Linked DNA regions of Nothobranchius furzeri. The protein of the gene in region 4 interacts with the protein of the main gene of each other region in a pairwise test. Links are inferred from orthologs where the notes say so. Each region holds a gene or a part of one and is shown on either strand. Other genes may lie near its edges.

Evidence for each region. The genes of interacting proteins can lie anywhere in the genome.
Region 1: the proteins of trip10a (region 4) and wasb interact in a two-hybrid assay, tested with the Homo sapiens proteins (2 studies listed by BioGRID). The link is inferred for Nothobranchius furzeri from reciprocal best matches to the Homo sapiens genes TRIP10 and WAS.
Region 2: the proteins of trip10a (region 4) and abl2 interact in binary tests that used the Homo sapiens proteins (3 or more experiments, as listed by UniProt). The link is inferred for Nothobranchius furzeri from reciprocal best matches to the Homo sapiens genes TRIP10 and ABL2.
Region 3: the proteins of trip10a (region 4) and arhgap12b interact in binary tests that used the Homo sapiens proteins (3 or more experiments, as listed by UniProt). The two-hybrid records come from large-scale screens. The link is inferred for Nothobranchius furzeri from reciprocal best matches to the Homo sapiens genes TRIP10 and ARHGAP12.

What each region holds. Positions count from the first base shown.
Region 1 is NC_091755.1:42,288,305-42,292,345, reverse strand, and holds the start of wasb (WASP actin nucleation promoting factor b), read left to right. Parts: upstream 1-1,241; 5' UTR 1,242-1,377; coding exon 1,378-1,479; intron 1,480-2,073; coding exon 2,074-2,214; intron 2,215-2,345; coding exon 2,346-2,432; intron 2,433-2,509; coding exon 2,510-2,606; intron 2,607-4,041. Other genes in the region: sodium-coupled neutral amino acid transporter 3, read left to right, coding at 45-149. UniProt on the Homo sapiens protein: Effector protein for Rho-type GTPases that regulates actin filament reorganization via its interaction with the Arp2/3 complex. Important for efficient actin polymerization. Possible regulator of lymphocyte and platelet function.
Region 2 is NC_091748.1:56,978,552-56,982,561, forward strand, and holds the start of abl2 (tyrosine-protein kinase ABL2), read right to left. Parts: upstream 2,801-4,010; 5' UTR 2,291-2,800; coding exon 2,074-2,290; intron 1-2,073. UniProt on the Homo sapiens protein: Non-receptor tyrosine-protein kinase that plays an ABL1-overlapping role in key processes linked to cell growth and survival such as cytoskeleton remodeling in response to extracellular stimuli, cell motility and adhesion and receptor endocytosis.
Region 3 is NC_091751.1:39,509,299-39,513,251, forward strand, and holds the start of arhgap12b (rho GTPase-activating protein 12b), read right to left. Parts: upstream 2,801-3,953; 5' UTR 2,599-2,800; intron 1-2,598. UniProt on the Homo sapiens protein: GTPase activator for the Rho-type GTPases by converting them to an inactive GDP-bound state.
Region 4 is NC_091745.1:3,251,048-3,254,547, forward strand, and holds part of trip10a (cdc42-interacting protein 4 homolog), read right to left. Parts: intron 2,315-3,500; coding exon 2,168-2,314; intron 2,046-2,167; coding exon 1,857-2,045; intron 1-1,856. UniProt on the Homo sapiens protein: Required for translocation of GLUT4 to the plasma membrane in response to insulin signaling. Required to coordinate membrane tubulation with reorganization of the actin cytoskeleton during endocytosis.

The DNA of each region.
Region 1 (4,041 bases), on a different chromosome or scaffold from region 4:
TTCCTGTTGACTCAACATGTGGGATCCGTGCTCTCTGTTGGCAGGCTATGTGTTTTGCTGCATTAGGGTTCATCTTCATGATCTTGAGCCTGTCGTTTATCATCATCGGCTGGGTCACGGGAAAGTCTCGGAGCGGCGGTGGACACTAGCTAGCAGCTACAAGCCAAGACTGACCAGAGGAACTCCAAACAGCACGTCAACCAAAACTCACCCTGCAAACAAACCCCACCGGTCAGCCGAGTTCTCATCCGGGGTTTGGTGATTTACGACGAAGGACAACAGTGAAGAGCCTCGCCCAAAGGAAGAGCTTTCCTGATGGGTGCTGTGCGTTGACTGAATGCACCGCTCAGAGCAAGGATGCTGGTGGGGCCGTGAAGCAGGAGGACAAACGAGAACCAAAGCAGAAGTCCGGTTTCAGGAGCCGGGTGGAAAAACGGAGCCACTATCATTTACTTCCATAATACGTCATATAAGTTTTTGTTCATTAACTTTTACTAAACAAACATTCATTATAGGTTGTTCATTCTGTTAGTTTTTTATGTACAAGATTCTGGTAAGATGTTGCTCGGGTAACAACGAGGAGCTGATGGTCGGCATCGCCACGGAGGAACTTTATTTCACCTAAAGACAACTTTCTGTGTGATGAAACTCATTTAATGTGTTTTTATGTCTCCTGACGACTGACAGGCGGCTCTGTACAAGGTCATGATTTAGGTACCGATGCAACCCGGTGCAATATGTAGGAGATTATGCTGCTGTTGTCGACGGTCAGTCAGAGGGTTACTGATAGTTGTGTGACTCTGAAAGGTGGTTCACACAAGTGAAAAACTGTTTTCTGTTCGTCTCCAACCCACAAACCAAAGAGTATTTAACTGTTACGTTAAGAGAGAGAATGCATTGTTTTCCTGTCACATTCAGCTGTTCGATCAGTTAAATTCAACACCCAGACTGTTTCATCATTTCCTGCATTTACAATTCAGTTGCTTTTAATTGTTTTTATTGTACGACTGGACCAAACACCTTTGTTCCAGAGCCTGCGCGTTTTAAAAATGTATTTAAATGTTGTTTGTCAATAAAAAAAAGTCTCTTCTTTGTACTTCCTGTACATCTGATGCTGATTATTTATGCATGTAAACTCTGAGCTGGAGGGAAGCAGCAGTGCCCTGCCTCTGTCTGAACATGGAAGTGACACGTTCACGTCAGAGTGAGAGAAGACAAGTGGGGGTTAGAGAAGTGTGGCTGTCTGCTTCCTGCTTCGAGCTGATGCTCGCTCAGAACAGAGAAGAGAAACTTCCTGGATCGTAGAGAATATTCCGACCGCTGTCCTCTTCGTTTTAGACTTTTGATGCCGTTACATGTTGGTTTGTGAGAGGCGTCATGAGTCGTGGAGCTAAGAGTAAAACAGAGAGCGATCGAAGCTCTTTGCTGAGCCAACAGGAGAATGACATGTTGGAGGAGCTGCTGGGCAGAAGGTGTGCTGTAAGTTCTGAACCGGGAGGAAATAACCCACCGTTCAATTTATTATTCATCACTTCTGCTGCTAAACAAAACTAACGCATTCCGATTGCCTGCCTATATGTTAGATTTCCTCCTCTTTGAGCCGCTAAAACGTCACATGCTGAAGAGGCAGGCGTTAGCTGAGGCCTGTCTCCTAAAACATCATCCTTTTGAGTTGGGAACTGAAAGATCCTTTCTGTAAGCAGCTGTGAGTGATGTTAAGTTATTTGCTGTTGGGTCACCATGACGGAGGCAGCTGTAACAGGAAATGCTGGCTGGCTGGATTCTTCCTCTCCTGTCAGATGTAGACGCCATGGCTGGTTTGGTCTGACAGCAGAGCAGAAGTTTAGTTTTTGACTTCATTCGTCCGTAGGAGTAAGCTGGCAGAGCCGTGAGACATCAGACGTGTGTCAGGTGTAATCCGGAGAAGACAGAGAGCCTTTTGAGCTCTTATCACAAAAATGAGAGCAGAGGAGGAAGTTATCCACCAGCAACGAGCAAATTTACATGTCAACTGGGTGTGTGTGTGTGTGTGTGCGTGCGTGTGCGTGTGTGTGTGTGCGTGTGTGTGTTTAGTCCACAGCCACCGCTGTAGCACAGCTGTTCATGGCTCTGCCACACAGCCCGTCCACATGGAGCCTGCAGCACACCGGAGTGGTCTGCTTCGTCAAAGACAACCCTCAGCGCTCCTACTTCATCCGGATGTTCGATTTGAAGGTCAAATAAAGAATCTATGAGCTCATCCTCTCTAGGTTTTGTGACTGACGTCTCCGTTGGAGAAGCTGTGACTCAGATGTGACGGGAGTTAGTGAGGGGCAGACGCGCTGACCAGGCACTTTTTTCCACAGGCAGGGAAACGGGTTTGGGAGCAGGAGCTGTACGACCAGATGGCTTACTTCACGCCTCTGCAATACTTTCACACCTTTCCTGCAGATGTAAGCGCGCACTAATCACACAAGGCAATAACTGTGTCAGTATGAAATTGTGAGTGTGTGTTTGGGTGAGTTAACAGGACTGCCAGGTGGGCCTGAACTTCACGGACCAACAGGAGGCAGACGCCTTCCAGCATGCTGTCGTGGAGAAAATCAACCAGCGGAACAGCCGGATGGGTCAGCACGCTCCTGCTCCTCTCACTACAGAGCTTTAACCCTCCGGAGGCAGGCGTTGCAGATTAGCAACGTTAAAACCTACCGACCTGGTTTCTCCACATACGTGTTTCATGAGCATGTTTTAACTCAGGAGCACCCCTGAAGGACTTAGTTGTTCGTCCTTTTATCATAACTTACTTTGAGCCTGAGAGGGTTAAGCAGACGTTTAGAAGGACACGCTTCCATGTTTATATTTAGAACAGGTTTGGGTTATGGGCTCGGCTGTAGCACCCTACATCAATAGTAGTCAACGGGGGCGGATCTTCAGGGGGGAACATTGTTGTAAAGCCTTGCCTTCCTCTGCTGCCTCCCTACTTCTATGTCCTAAACGGTGTATTCACATCTGGGTCGGCCCGGTCCATCCCTGGCAGGGTAATTGTGTTCACATCGGGGTAATCTGTGTGTTTTCTGTGCTCAGCCGACCATTTTTTCCAGATCTCATCTCCAGCGGACAGCTTGGCACTGACAACACATCCACTTCGGACCGACTGGGTGGCCAAAGTTCATGTCTGCCTACAGAGAAAGCCTTTGATTGGCAAGCAGAATCAGCCAGTGCTGGCTTCCTGCATACATGATTCATAATCATTCTGGATGCAGTGGAGTAAACATCTCCTCCGACTGCAGCTCACACCTGCCGTGGGAGCACAAAGCCAGACAGCTGTGAGGAGCGCGTGGCGGTCTCAGTGAGACAGTAGGAAGCTGTGTGCTTCATGTCAGAGTCTCTCAAAGCAACGCAACTCTCAGCCACCTTTGTTTACTAATTGAAAAAAGGACACCGTGGACTTCTCCATGCATCTTTTGCCCCGCCTACATGCTCGGAGACGTCTACGTTCCTGAGAAGGCTGTGCAAACAAAACCTGGCCATGGTGGGATGGGCCAACCCAGCCAGGACCCAACCGGGCTGGGCCAGATGTGAAAATGCCACGAGTGATGGCAGAATCAGTCCAGCAGGGGCGGATTAAGAACTGAAGAACATCCGGGGCTTAACACACGCACACACGCGCGCGAACACACGCGCGCGCGCGCACACACACACACACACACACACACACACACACACACACACACACACACACACACACACACACACACGCACACACACACACACAAGTGACACGCACTAGTCAACATCATATATATTTGTCTTGTACCACATCATTTTTAATCTGAAGCTACATATTAAGCATTTTCAGGGCAGAGTATTGTTCCTGTTAGTGTTTAGTGTGAGATGATAGTAAATATTACCTTTCTTTCTCCAACAACTTTACCTGATAAGCTAACTTTAGGCAAACCAGCAGCACAACAAATATTTTCTAATAAGACTCACAAACCTGAGTCAGCACCAGTCTCATCAAAGCTGGGGTTCTGTCGCCGTACTTTTGGTCTAAAACGTCCT
Region 2 (4,010 bases), on a different chromosome or scaffold from region 4:
ATCTTGGAAGCTATTAAAAGGTTATCCCTGTCCCAACACAGGAAAGAACTGAGCAGAACAGCAACAAAAGCGAGTGGTGCTGCACTTAACAAGCTTGTCTGTCAGTCTGTAACGACTTACTTCCACAGTGCAAGAGCCAGGAACTGAAAATACTTTCCATTGCCAAAAGGTTGCACCTTTTCTGTGTCCTAACTCACAGCAATGGACGAAGACAAATAAGAGTGGAAACTAGACAGGTCACGCCAGTAGTTAAACATCTTAACGCAATACAAACATCATCAAACGTGAGTAAAAGCCATCCAACATGCCATCAAGTACACCATAACTATGTTACATGCAAAGGTATGCAACAAATGGGAAGAAAGACTGATCAGTTATTGCACAACATGGAAAAATAACGGCAAGCCCTTATGATAGCATTGCCACTGGCTCTGACGCAGAAAGATTTGTTTTAAAACTTGTGATGTTGAGACAAGTAACTGAAGCCACCTCAGCCTTGTTGTTGTCATTTCAGGTTTTAATATTCTAAGAATAGACATCTATTTTATTAAATCAGAGGAGCTTTGAACATTAATTTTAAAAAGATCATATTCCATCCATCCATGTTCAGCCACTTATTCAGAGTCGGTCGCGGGGGCAGCAGCCTCAAACATAAACCAAGTTAGGCCCAGGTTCCCTCTCCTCTCCCCAGCCACTGAAGGCAGCTCCTCAGGAGGAATCCTAAGGCATTCCCTGGCCAGCTGAGAAATAGTCTCATCTGCATGTCCTGGGGCTTCCTTTAGGTCTCCTCCCAGCTGGATGTGCCCAGAAAACCTCACCAGGGAGGCGTCCAGGAGGCACCCTAACCAGACGCCATAGCCACCACAACTGGCTCCTCTTGATGTGGAGGAGCAGCAGTGGAGGTCTACTCTGACCCCCTCCCGCACGACCGATCTTCTAACCCTATCTTTAAGGAGAGCCCTGACACCCTGCAGAGAAAACTCAATTTTGGCCGCTTGTATCCGCAATCTCACTCTTTCGCTTACTACCCAAAGCTCGTGACCATAGATGAGGGTTGGAATGTAGATTGATTGGTAAATGGAGAGCTTTGCCTACTGGCTCAGCTCTCTTCACCACAACGCCCACATCACTGCAGATGCAGCACCAATCCGCCTATCGCTCCATCTTACCCTCGCTTGTAAACAAGAACCCAAGAAACCTAAACTTCTCCACTTGAGGCAGGACCTCATCCTTGAACTGGATAAAGCTCTACCATTTTCCGACTCAAGACCATGGTCTCAGATTTAGAGCATATTATTGAAATAGAAAAAAGTCACCAAAACAAAGTAGATAATTCTTTTGGATTAATCTTTACTAAATGTTATGCAACTGTAGACAATATTAGAAGATTCAAGTGAAAATTGCTGTATATATATACAGTATACTGTAATGTGAGCCACTGATGTAGTGAGTTAATAGAGTGGAAAAGCTAATGAAATGACCCCAGGCAAGAACACGGTTTCTAAACTAAATACCAGTGGATCCCAAACTGCTCAGGCTTCAACCCTCATAACAACGTGACTAATGCTGCCTGGCTGAAAGGTACAACTATTTCTAATATGCCATGTAAAAAAGACACAAACTGTCTCGAACCTATTATATTCGCTGTCACAGCTCAGCCGTCTAGTTTCTTTAAGTAAGAGTGAAGAAAGCCCGGCAGCAATCATTTAAATGTCATTTCCATGGATCATCTCAAGATCCTTGAACTTGGTGCTTCATGCATCGCTGTGGAGTTCCGGTCCCAGTTTGCAAGAACTGCCCTAAGGGCTTCCTCAAGCAGTCACAAAAAGTACTGAGGGTTTTCCCTCTCGTTTAAACCATCAAGGCAGTTCGGTGACCACACTGAATCGTGTCAACAGAGGAATAACAGCAGAATAAACTGGATGTGCCACCGAGAGCTAATGTGGGATGTCAAAACCATTTCCGCTAACGGGTCGTTGTCAAATAGCAGGGACTTGCTAGCAGAATCAAACATCAAAGAGAAAACACATCTTACACATCCACCCACGCATAAACATGAATCTTGCACTTTACCTGAATGCTGCGTGAATATATTTATTCCTGGGTCTGGTACGTTTACTGCAGCAGCCCTGCCCGGTGGTGTCCCGGTGCTGCTGCCGGGTTCTCGGGGTTTCCTCCCGGCGACGCTGCCCCGGTTCCCCTTCCCCTGGTGTGGTTGGGACGCGTGAGGCTGTGGTGGCTCGAGTCCGCTTGATGTAACCTCACCGACGCGGCCTACCTGCTGTCCCATTCCAGTAGTTTTGTCAGAGGACGTGTGGGACGAAGCAAGCAAACCTCCCCTGGGTACCTCTGGTTCACATTCCCCTAAGCTGGTGCGGCCTAACCCGAATTCTTTTCACGAATCCCCTCCCTGCTGCTCTCCGAAAGGAGAACGGCTCAGTGTTAGCTCGCCTGGCTAACGCTAGCAGCTACCACTGAAACCCACCTAGCCTTCCTCTAACAATAAAATCCCAGCAACGGTGCGAGGCAGCGATTATCTCCGTCCCGAATGTCCAGGCAGTAGCCCTGCAGTAATTAAAGCCACCCGACAAGCTCGACTTAGTTCAAGCGGACCTAATTAAAAGCGTTTGGCCGTTGTTCGGCCGCAGCGCGCCCCCTCTGACGCCGCCATCTTTACCGCAGAATATGTGTTGCACACGGCGGGTGGGGGGGCTCGCCTCGGCAAGCTGTCAGCGCCATCCCTGACCCGGTACCAGCGCCATCCCTGACCCGGTACCAGCAGTGAGAAAGCTGGATCTGTCTGGCCCCAGAGCGGACCACAAATGTGCAAAAGCTCCACAAAGAAAAGGACTTGAGGCTTGCACGATTATTTCGGGGGGGATGGGGATGGGGGGTAAATAATTCACCAATGTTAACATTTACAAAACGGCATATCAATTACATAAGAAAAAACGTATATTATATTCCACATTAGAGAAATATTTTATTTATCATATTTTAATATCAAATGGCACATGACCTGGTCATTGCAAAAAACAATCTCATTAAAGGCAAACTTGACATAACCATGTCAGCTCTCAAAAATATACCTCTTCTAAATAAAAATCCTCTGAAAATGTTTTCATCATTTGTAAACAATGTTTAAATAATTCAAAGCAGAAATAAATCTGACATTATGGAGTTGACAACGGTTTAAACCTGGCAAGTTCTACTCAAACACTTTGAAACAATATTAATTTACAGGTACCGTTTGGCTGATGTAAGGCGTGAGAACATCACGGCAAACCTTAACAGGGATAAAAAATAAATGCTTTACTATAGCGCCACCTGATGGTGATGCTCTATAATAGAGTTCTGCTGGATTTGGCACTAACATTGGCAGTCCAATAACTTTTTACAAAACAGTACAAACATGACCGTAATACTAATAATACATCAAACTTAAATAGCGCTTTCATGCACTTTCACACTCACACACTGCCAGTGATGGTAAGCTACTATGTAGCCACAGCCGCCCTTGGGCGGTCTGACAGAGACAAGGCTGCCGTCGGATCCTCTGACCACCACCAACACAAACATTTAAATTTAATTGATTGTATGATTTCAGTAACACCTATTTAATGGTGAGGATGCAAATTTTGTTTTCATAAAAAAAAGATCACCATCGTTTTAGCAGCAAGCTGCAAGTTTTTAAGGAAAATCTTACACTTTCACTTTCTAGCAGATCGACTCAGCGCTGATCGCAAAATACAAAATGTAAGTTCACAAAACGCTTTAAACACCTGTAGATCGTTACAACAGCTTATAAACTCAGTTGTAAATTATGTGTTTGACATCAATGTTCTCACTGACTTGTGCCCACCTCAGCAGCCATATTCATCATTAGATGTAAATATATGTAGTCCTTTAGGATCCACAAATCAGTTTGGTCATATCTATATGAGCAAAAACACCAAACACTGCTTGTTTGTCATAAAACACATGGAAAGTATAATAAATCTTTCCAAGCA
Region 3 (3,953 bases), on a different chromosome or scaffold from region 4:
TTCATGGATTATGTTTCACATTCTGTCTCTCACAGTTGAAGTGTACCTATGATGAAAATTACTGACCTCTGTCATCATTTTAAGTGGGAGAACTTGCACAATCGGTGGCTGACTAAATACTTTTTTGCCCCACTGTATACTGTTCCCTTGTCATGATGAAAATGCCACCTTTAATGTACAAACTGTTTTTAATCCACTTGTTTAGGATGATTTTAGGTCCTTTTTCGACTAAATCTGCAAGATGAGGCCTGTTTCCACTATTGAAACGTCCAGGTACCGTTACCGGACCATCGTGGCATACACACATTTCCATTTCACCGGGCCAGCCCAAAAACACCATTTGGTGAGCCACTTCAGGGACCAACTGAGTACCTGGAGTGGTGTATGCTGATTGGCTGTAACTCAGAAGGAAATGATGTCACAGATGTTACCAAACAACCAGCGATTATAAAACTGGAACAGATTCAGGTGAAGCAGAATGAAAGGAAAAGAAAAGCAGCGTTTATTTACTCTGCTTTAAAATCACCGTTTCTAAACTCGCAACACCAGAAAATGCAGCAGAACTTTATTTAGATGAGTGTTTACAACCCATTCTGTTTCCAGACAACAAAACTGGGCCAATATTTGTGACCAGGAAAGAGACAATTCCCTCTTCTCTTTCTCCTACTGGACCAGTGAAAGCTGTCACTGGTGTCGTCTTTACTCACTAGATGGAAACAAACTAATGCATCGACGTTTTAAAAGTTCTTTATAACCCGTGTGTCTAAAGAGGTTATTTGTAACGATTAATAATTAATCTTATTAATCAGAGGAGAGATGGGGAGGACAATGTCCTTAGTCATGTTTGCTTGCTCAGTCCTCTGATATTTGTGCAAAATACACCAGAAGTACATTTGCAAAAAATAATCTCTCGTTTGGCAGAAAACCAACACAAGGCTACCAACAAGGAGACAAACTCAACAAGCTCAAGAAATGTACAGCAGGAGAGAAACAAGTAGCTAACGGTTAGAGTGATTCACGCCCCCATGTAGAAAAGTCTCTCATTCATCGTCATATTTTAAAACGTTCCAGGTGAGTTAATGCATGATCTGTTGTGACAACCACACTGGAAACCTTTTCCTCACATTATCTGAAGTTCAAGGTGACTTGGGTTCAATATCCGTGTTGAAAATATAGTTAAACATTTGGATACAGCAATCACAACCTAACCTCTGCCTCACACGTAGACTGTCTGACAGGTTTTAGATGTAAATAATCACTTTGCTGGAAAAACACATTTAAATCCTATTTTTTAAGGAACTTGGGTTTCTTGCAGCTTCACTACAGTGTTTTCCATAACCTGTTTCTTGTAGAAAAGCCAGCACAAGTGACACTGAGCACATGATTTCATTAACATACCAAGTGTGCATTACGCTCTTGAACATAACTCTAGTTTCATAGTTGCTGCAGTTAGTCCCAGCTTCTAAGCTGTTGCAGCTGCACTGACACGTTGGTGATAACTTTGATCAGAAATAAAATGCATGTTCTTACAATTGCCGCACCAGATAGATTACCAAGTCAGCACCACCTGCAAGTCGTGGTTTCTTCTTTTGCAGCAGAGAACTGAGGCTGACACCAAAAAGGAACAGAGGAAGTGGCGTGTTGACCTTCACACAGCTTGGATTCAGCACAGGCTGCCCCAGTTAGGCACATCTCAACTCTCTGAGGTCCATTAGCCCTGTTATAACCACAATCTGTCCCACTCCAGAGAACTACAATCAGTGTAGCCCACTTTTAAATCTCAACTTCCAGTGTGCACAGATTCAGACAGGCATGCTGGGAGAGCAGGTAGTCCATTTCTCCTCCCACTCAAGAGGCACATCAACCAACAGATCTGGGAAAGAAATTAACCACAAAGATGGAAAAAGTCCACCACCAACCCATGTTTTATAAATTAAAGTTTCCTGATGGATCATATTAATTAAATGAATAACAAACACAAAAAGAATTGGCTGCTTAAGTATTTGAAATGACTGGTTACTTTAAATCTTCACTATTGTTTTACATTTACATAAATAAAACGGGACTACAGATTCGACAGCAGGAATGTGTCGCTGTGAGCTGAGTCATGCCCTAAAATACATTTTTAAAAAGCATGTTAACTGTTTTTATTTTTATCTCTATTGAGCGTAAACACAATGCTGTTTTTAAGGACTGGCTCTTGTGTGACTACATTTGGACTAAAAGAATGAAATCAGCAGGATTTCCTGACCGTGACGAGTTATTTTAGTAACTGTACGCCTTATTTTAATAGGAAACTTGATTTAAGAATGATTAGAACTCATGCTTATGGTGTAACTCTTGATTTTGTGTTGTGATAAACGAAGTTTAACCAAAACAAACACCGTTTCTGCTGTTTTCTGATGTTTTATCGTCTGTAATGTTAGGGAATAGTTTGTGTACTTTCAGCACGTTTCTCGTGGATTTACTTTTTAGTTAAGTTCATATTTGAGAACATTATCAACTAGTTTTTCATCTTTGTTGTAATTTGTCGCTAACACTAGCTAGCTAAATAGCTTGAGGGCTAAATTCCTGGTCGTCCCAAATAAGGATACGCACCTGAACGTCTCTTCTCTTCGGGAATCCGGGAACCCGCTGAACTTAAATTCCAGTAAACTTCCCCACCGAGTCGAACTAGCTTTACTCTTCTTAAGTTTGTCCAACACTCACGGTTCCGTCTCCCCGTGTCCGTCCCTGGTTCGTAACCTATAATCCGCCACAGCTCTTCTTCTCGTGAACTCGCCTGCAACTTCGACAACCACCTTTACACAAAGATAATCTAGTCACGTGACGTATCACTACGGAGATTTTTCTACAGAAACTAACGACTTACTTTATTTTTCTGGGAGTACGACAAATGTGGTGCTACTTACTACAGATATGCGGACAAACACAATATCTAAAGTAATTTTCATGACAGTGATTCTGGTCCCATGAGCTAATGTAAATAGTTTTAGCAGGATATTCTTCGGAGTGAGAACTCTTCTTAAAGGAGTGAACTGCGGCTCGAGCCCTCAGGTGTCCGGGTGGCAAGAGGAGAGTTAGCGCCGTCTAGCGGCAGTAATGCACAACATCAAAAATAATGTCCCATTTTGATAACTCTTAAAAAAACAATGCGTTTTCTGCATCTGCTTTAAAAAACGTATAAAAATATCAATGCCAAAATTAATCACTTATCCAATAAAAACATTTCTGAATTTTGTCAAACCAAAATAAGTAGATTTGGCCACAGAAAACATGTTTAAAATCAAACATCTTAAGTTTATGAAACCACTAATCTTATTGGTTATATCGCTTAAACCTCATTTACTTTCACACCCATTGGTTGAATCTTTTAGCAATCAGGGTCCTCTCTTGTGGAACCAGCTCCCAGCTTTAGTCCGTGAGGCAGACACCTAGTCTACTTTTAAGACTGGGCTTAAAACATTCTTATTTGATAGGGCCTATGGTTAAAATCTGATGTTAGCCCAGATCTGGACAAGTGGGGGAGTAGAGGGAGGTGGAGTGTACAGTCGGTAAAGACGGCTCTCTCTTGCCCTGCCTCCAACATGCCTCCATCTGAAAAGTTATTCAGAGTTATCTCTGTAGTTATGCTGCTATAGGCTTAGACTGCTGGAGGACATACTGACCACTTTCCACATTCGACTACTTTCTTCTACAATTTCTTTCTGTCTTTAACTGTATTATTTCCTGTTATTTCAGCTGTTACCGTTATTTTTTCTCTAAGTGTTTTTCTCTCCAGAAGAAGCTACAATGATGTTCTGCTGAGCTGTGGTAGCCTCATGGTGGGGACCATAGGCTTGAACACTGCTGCAAACCATTTAAACATTCTCCCTCCTGACAATAACATTTTACTTTCTTTGACATTGAATGTGCTACTACTAGTTTACCCGTTTAATTATAGATTAACTAGG
Region 4 (3,500 bases):
GAGGGGGTCTGCTTCAGGCCGACCAGGGCCAACACACCCACTGCTGACAGCAAATTCACACCTTCCATTAGAGCAAGCCTCTGATTGGTGGGTAGAATCAGCCCATTCACACCTTCCATTAGAGCAAGCCTCTGATTGGTGGGTAGAATCAGCCCACATGGGCTTAAGACAAGGATGTGTGGAATCAACCGGGCCAGGCTGGGGCCGACTGGGGCTACCCGGCCCGGGCCGACCCGGTACAGATGGGAATGGCCCATTACTTCCATTTTTTAAATCATTCTTTGTTTACGGCATTTTTCACACCTGCCTAAAACTTTTGCACTGCTGTAAAACAACCGAGCTCTCGGAACAACCTCAATTTAGAGAAACACAGATGAGTAACAATCAGAGCAACACGCCAACAGCTAGTCACATCGAGGCCAGCTCCAAAGTGTTCAAATCAACCCTAACATAAGCAGGAAACGCCAACTCACTGTAACCTTTACATTACCATAAATATCTAACTTTATAGGTCGGGTTTTTTCTGGCAGAATTATGATCAAATTCCAGCCAGAAACACAAAACTAATATATATAATAGCCCTCCATCCTCCAAACAGCCTAATGGGCTCGACACACGGGAGGCGACAAACGACCGCGAATCGCGATCAGCGAAATTTGTCGCTGTCGCTTTTATTAGCTGACACACGGGAGGCGATACGCGGCAGCGGCCAGCGGCAAAGCCGTCTACGCGTTCTGTTCCATGGCGAAATGGAAACTTCTGTTGTTTTGATTGGCTGTGTCAGGTTGGAGGGAATTAAGGTTATTTAAGTGGTTCAGAGTTAATAAAGCGGTAGATATGATGTTTCACAAGGTGCTGCTAGAGTTATGTGAAATCTTACTTCTGATTTTACTATAAAACATAATAATAATCAACTTCTCCTCCATGTTTGCTCGAAGATGTACGGAGCATCCTGTCCGCTCATTGGTCAGTGAATGAAACCTCCGTTGATTGGTCCTCGTCCCAGCAACAGCGATGAAAAGTTGAAAATGTTTGAACTTTCTGGGATCCAGTCGCTGGGTCGCCTGTGCACGGCACGTGCACGAGCGCAAAATTTCACACGCATGTTTTTTGCGTTTCGCTTGGTAGGAGGGAGACCCGCGATTATCGCTTTGTCACACATGTCTCATTGAAAATGAATGGAGGAGAGGCGATGTCGCCTCCCGTGTGTCGAGCCCATAAGACTGCCAACAAGGAAGAAAATCCAAGAGTTAACACAAATCTGTATCTGTGGGAAAACAGAGCTCAGAACTAAACTTGAGAAAGCGCAGGAAGTCATGGCAGGAAGTCAACAAATAATCTGACAGAGCAAAGAAATACAAGGCGGAAATGTAAACGGAGGTGTGACTGGACAAATAGCTGCAGATCAGTAAACCAGGAAAAGAACAGATCAACGTGGAGTCAGCCGATAGCATCTCACTTATTTTACTATAAAACAAACTAAAAATACAAAACTGGAGCTGAGGCCATCGCTAATCCCAAACAAGCTAAGCAAATACTGGCCTACTACTCAAACCAGGGGTAATGAAAACAGACATGACAGAAAAAGATGTTGCCCTTGTAACCTCTAGAATGCATTAAACATTGTGTTTTAGCATCTGTGACACCTGAAATCTTGCCACACACACACACACACACACACACATGGATTTCTCAGGCAGATTTATCTCACCAGATGGAAAAACTCAAGATTTTTAATCATTTGGATCAATAATTGTTTGACTATCAACTTTCAGACACACTTTTAGTCGTTCTAGCCTCTTTCGGTGTTTGTTTCCCGCAAATCGAAGGTACTCGGATCATGGGAAAACTCCTACCTTACTCTTCCTGGTGAAAAGCCAAAAGTTTTTGCTCTTATTCTTCCCCAGAAGGTCCATGGGGCCTTTAGGCGTACCCAGACTGCTGTCTGAAGAGGCTCGATTGATGCCTTGGCTGTAGTCCTCAAACTCCTGGTCTCCAGGTCGCTCAAAACCCGACTTATTCTGCTCTATCACAAACATTGTGTCCTATATAAAAACAGCAAGAAATGAAAACAAAGTTTTGTTTAGACAAGTGTACAGATCAAACCCATAAGCTGCATGACCTCGTGACACACAGTCAAATGTTCGATCTCTGAAAACCAACTCACATTCTTCTCATTTACGTTAGTGCCGGCTTTAGTAATGCCTTCCAGGCACTTGCCAATGATGGGCATCACATGTTTCTCTGTGTCTGAGAACAAGATGTAGCCTTGTGCTAACTTCCGTATTCGCCTCTCATCCAGATCCTGCAATTTCTAAAGGATACAGAAGAGTTACAGAGACCTAAAACTCCCCACATCTGAACACAAATCAGAAACGCTAACTCAGCCCAGATCAAAGTCCTGCTTTAACATTCCAGTCATCATTTACTAAACCATCACTGAGCTGCATCAACTACGATGACTCACTAGTGAGCGAGCTTCTACACTCAGAACTTTCTACTGAGGTCTTAAAGGTCAACGATGTTTTATGAAAACAGAAAACCTGGCATTCCCCCAGCCAGCTGACGGGGAGATCTTGCCATTGTAACCTTCTCTGCAACGTGATACACACATTGGACTGTTCTGTGACTACTTTACTGAACGATTCTTACATAGTTGACCTTTAAGGGCTGCAACGATTCGTCGATGTTATCGACAAATATCGACAATAGAAACGCCAGACGTGTTTTTTTCCGACCGAGTGAGGCATCTCACTTCATAACCCCCAAATTCCACTACCTCCGCTCCGCCCCCGCCTTCCGCAGCCGCTCGCTTCCGAACTCAATTTTTACTGGTACCCGCTCTACAACGGCTCCGCTCCGGTGCGGAGACCTGAGGTGCGCAAACAAGCATGCGCGGGATTTTCGAGATCTTGCGATACAGTCCGAGCAATAAACGCGGAAGTTAGATCCAAACACCCGTTGTGTGGGAGAAGCATCGACATGAACTGTTTAATCTGCCCATCATTTGTGTTGAGAGATCAGCAGTGTTTGGATCAACAAAGTGTGACTACTTTGACAGTAGAAACTGTATTTATGGCTTACTTTTGTGCATTTAAACTTCAGGCGCCATTGATAGTTGTTAAAAGTTGTGAAACCTGTGCATATGAAACAAAAAACTCCTTTTGTTTATCGATTTATTGTGAAATAACGGAAGTTGTGCTTGCTCCTTTTCCTGTTGGGCGGTTGTGATTCCTGTCCATTTACTGCGGAGGTGCTCCGGCGTCCGGCGAAAATAGGATCGATTCTATTTTTGCCGGACGCCGGAACAGAGGGAGGCGCACTGCGCCGCACTGCCGCGGCACGGCCGCAGTAGTGGAATAGCTCTGATTGACTACAACGGGACCGATTTTGCTGCGGAGTTTGTGGCGGAGCGGAGGTAGTGGAATTTGGGGGTTACAATCTCTGCCAAAAGTCGCACATGCACAATAGCTTCTCTGCTGGGCGCCAACTAACAGAAA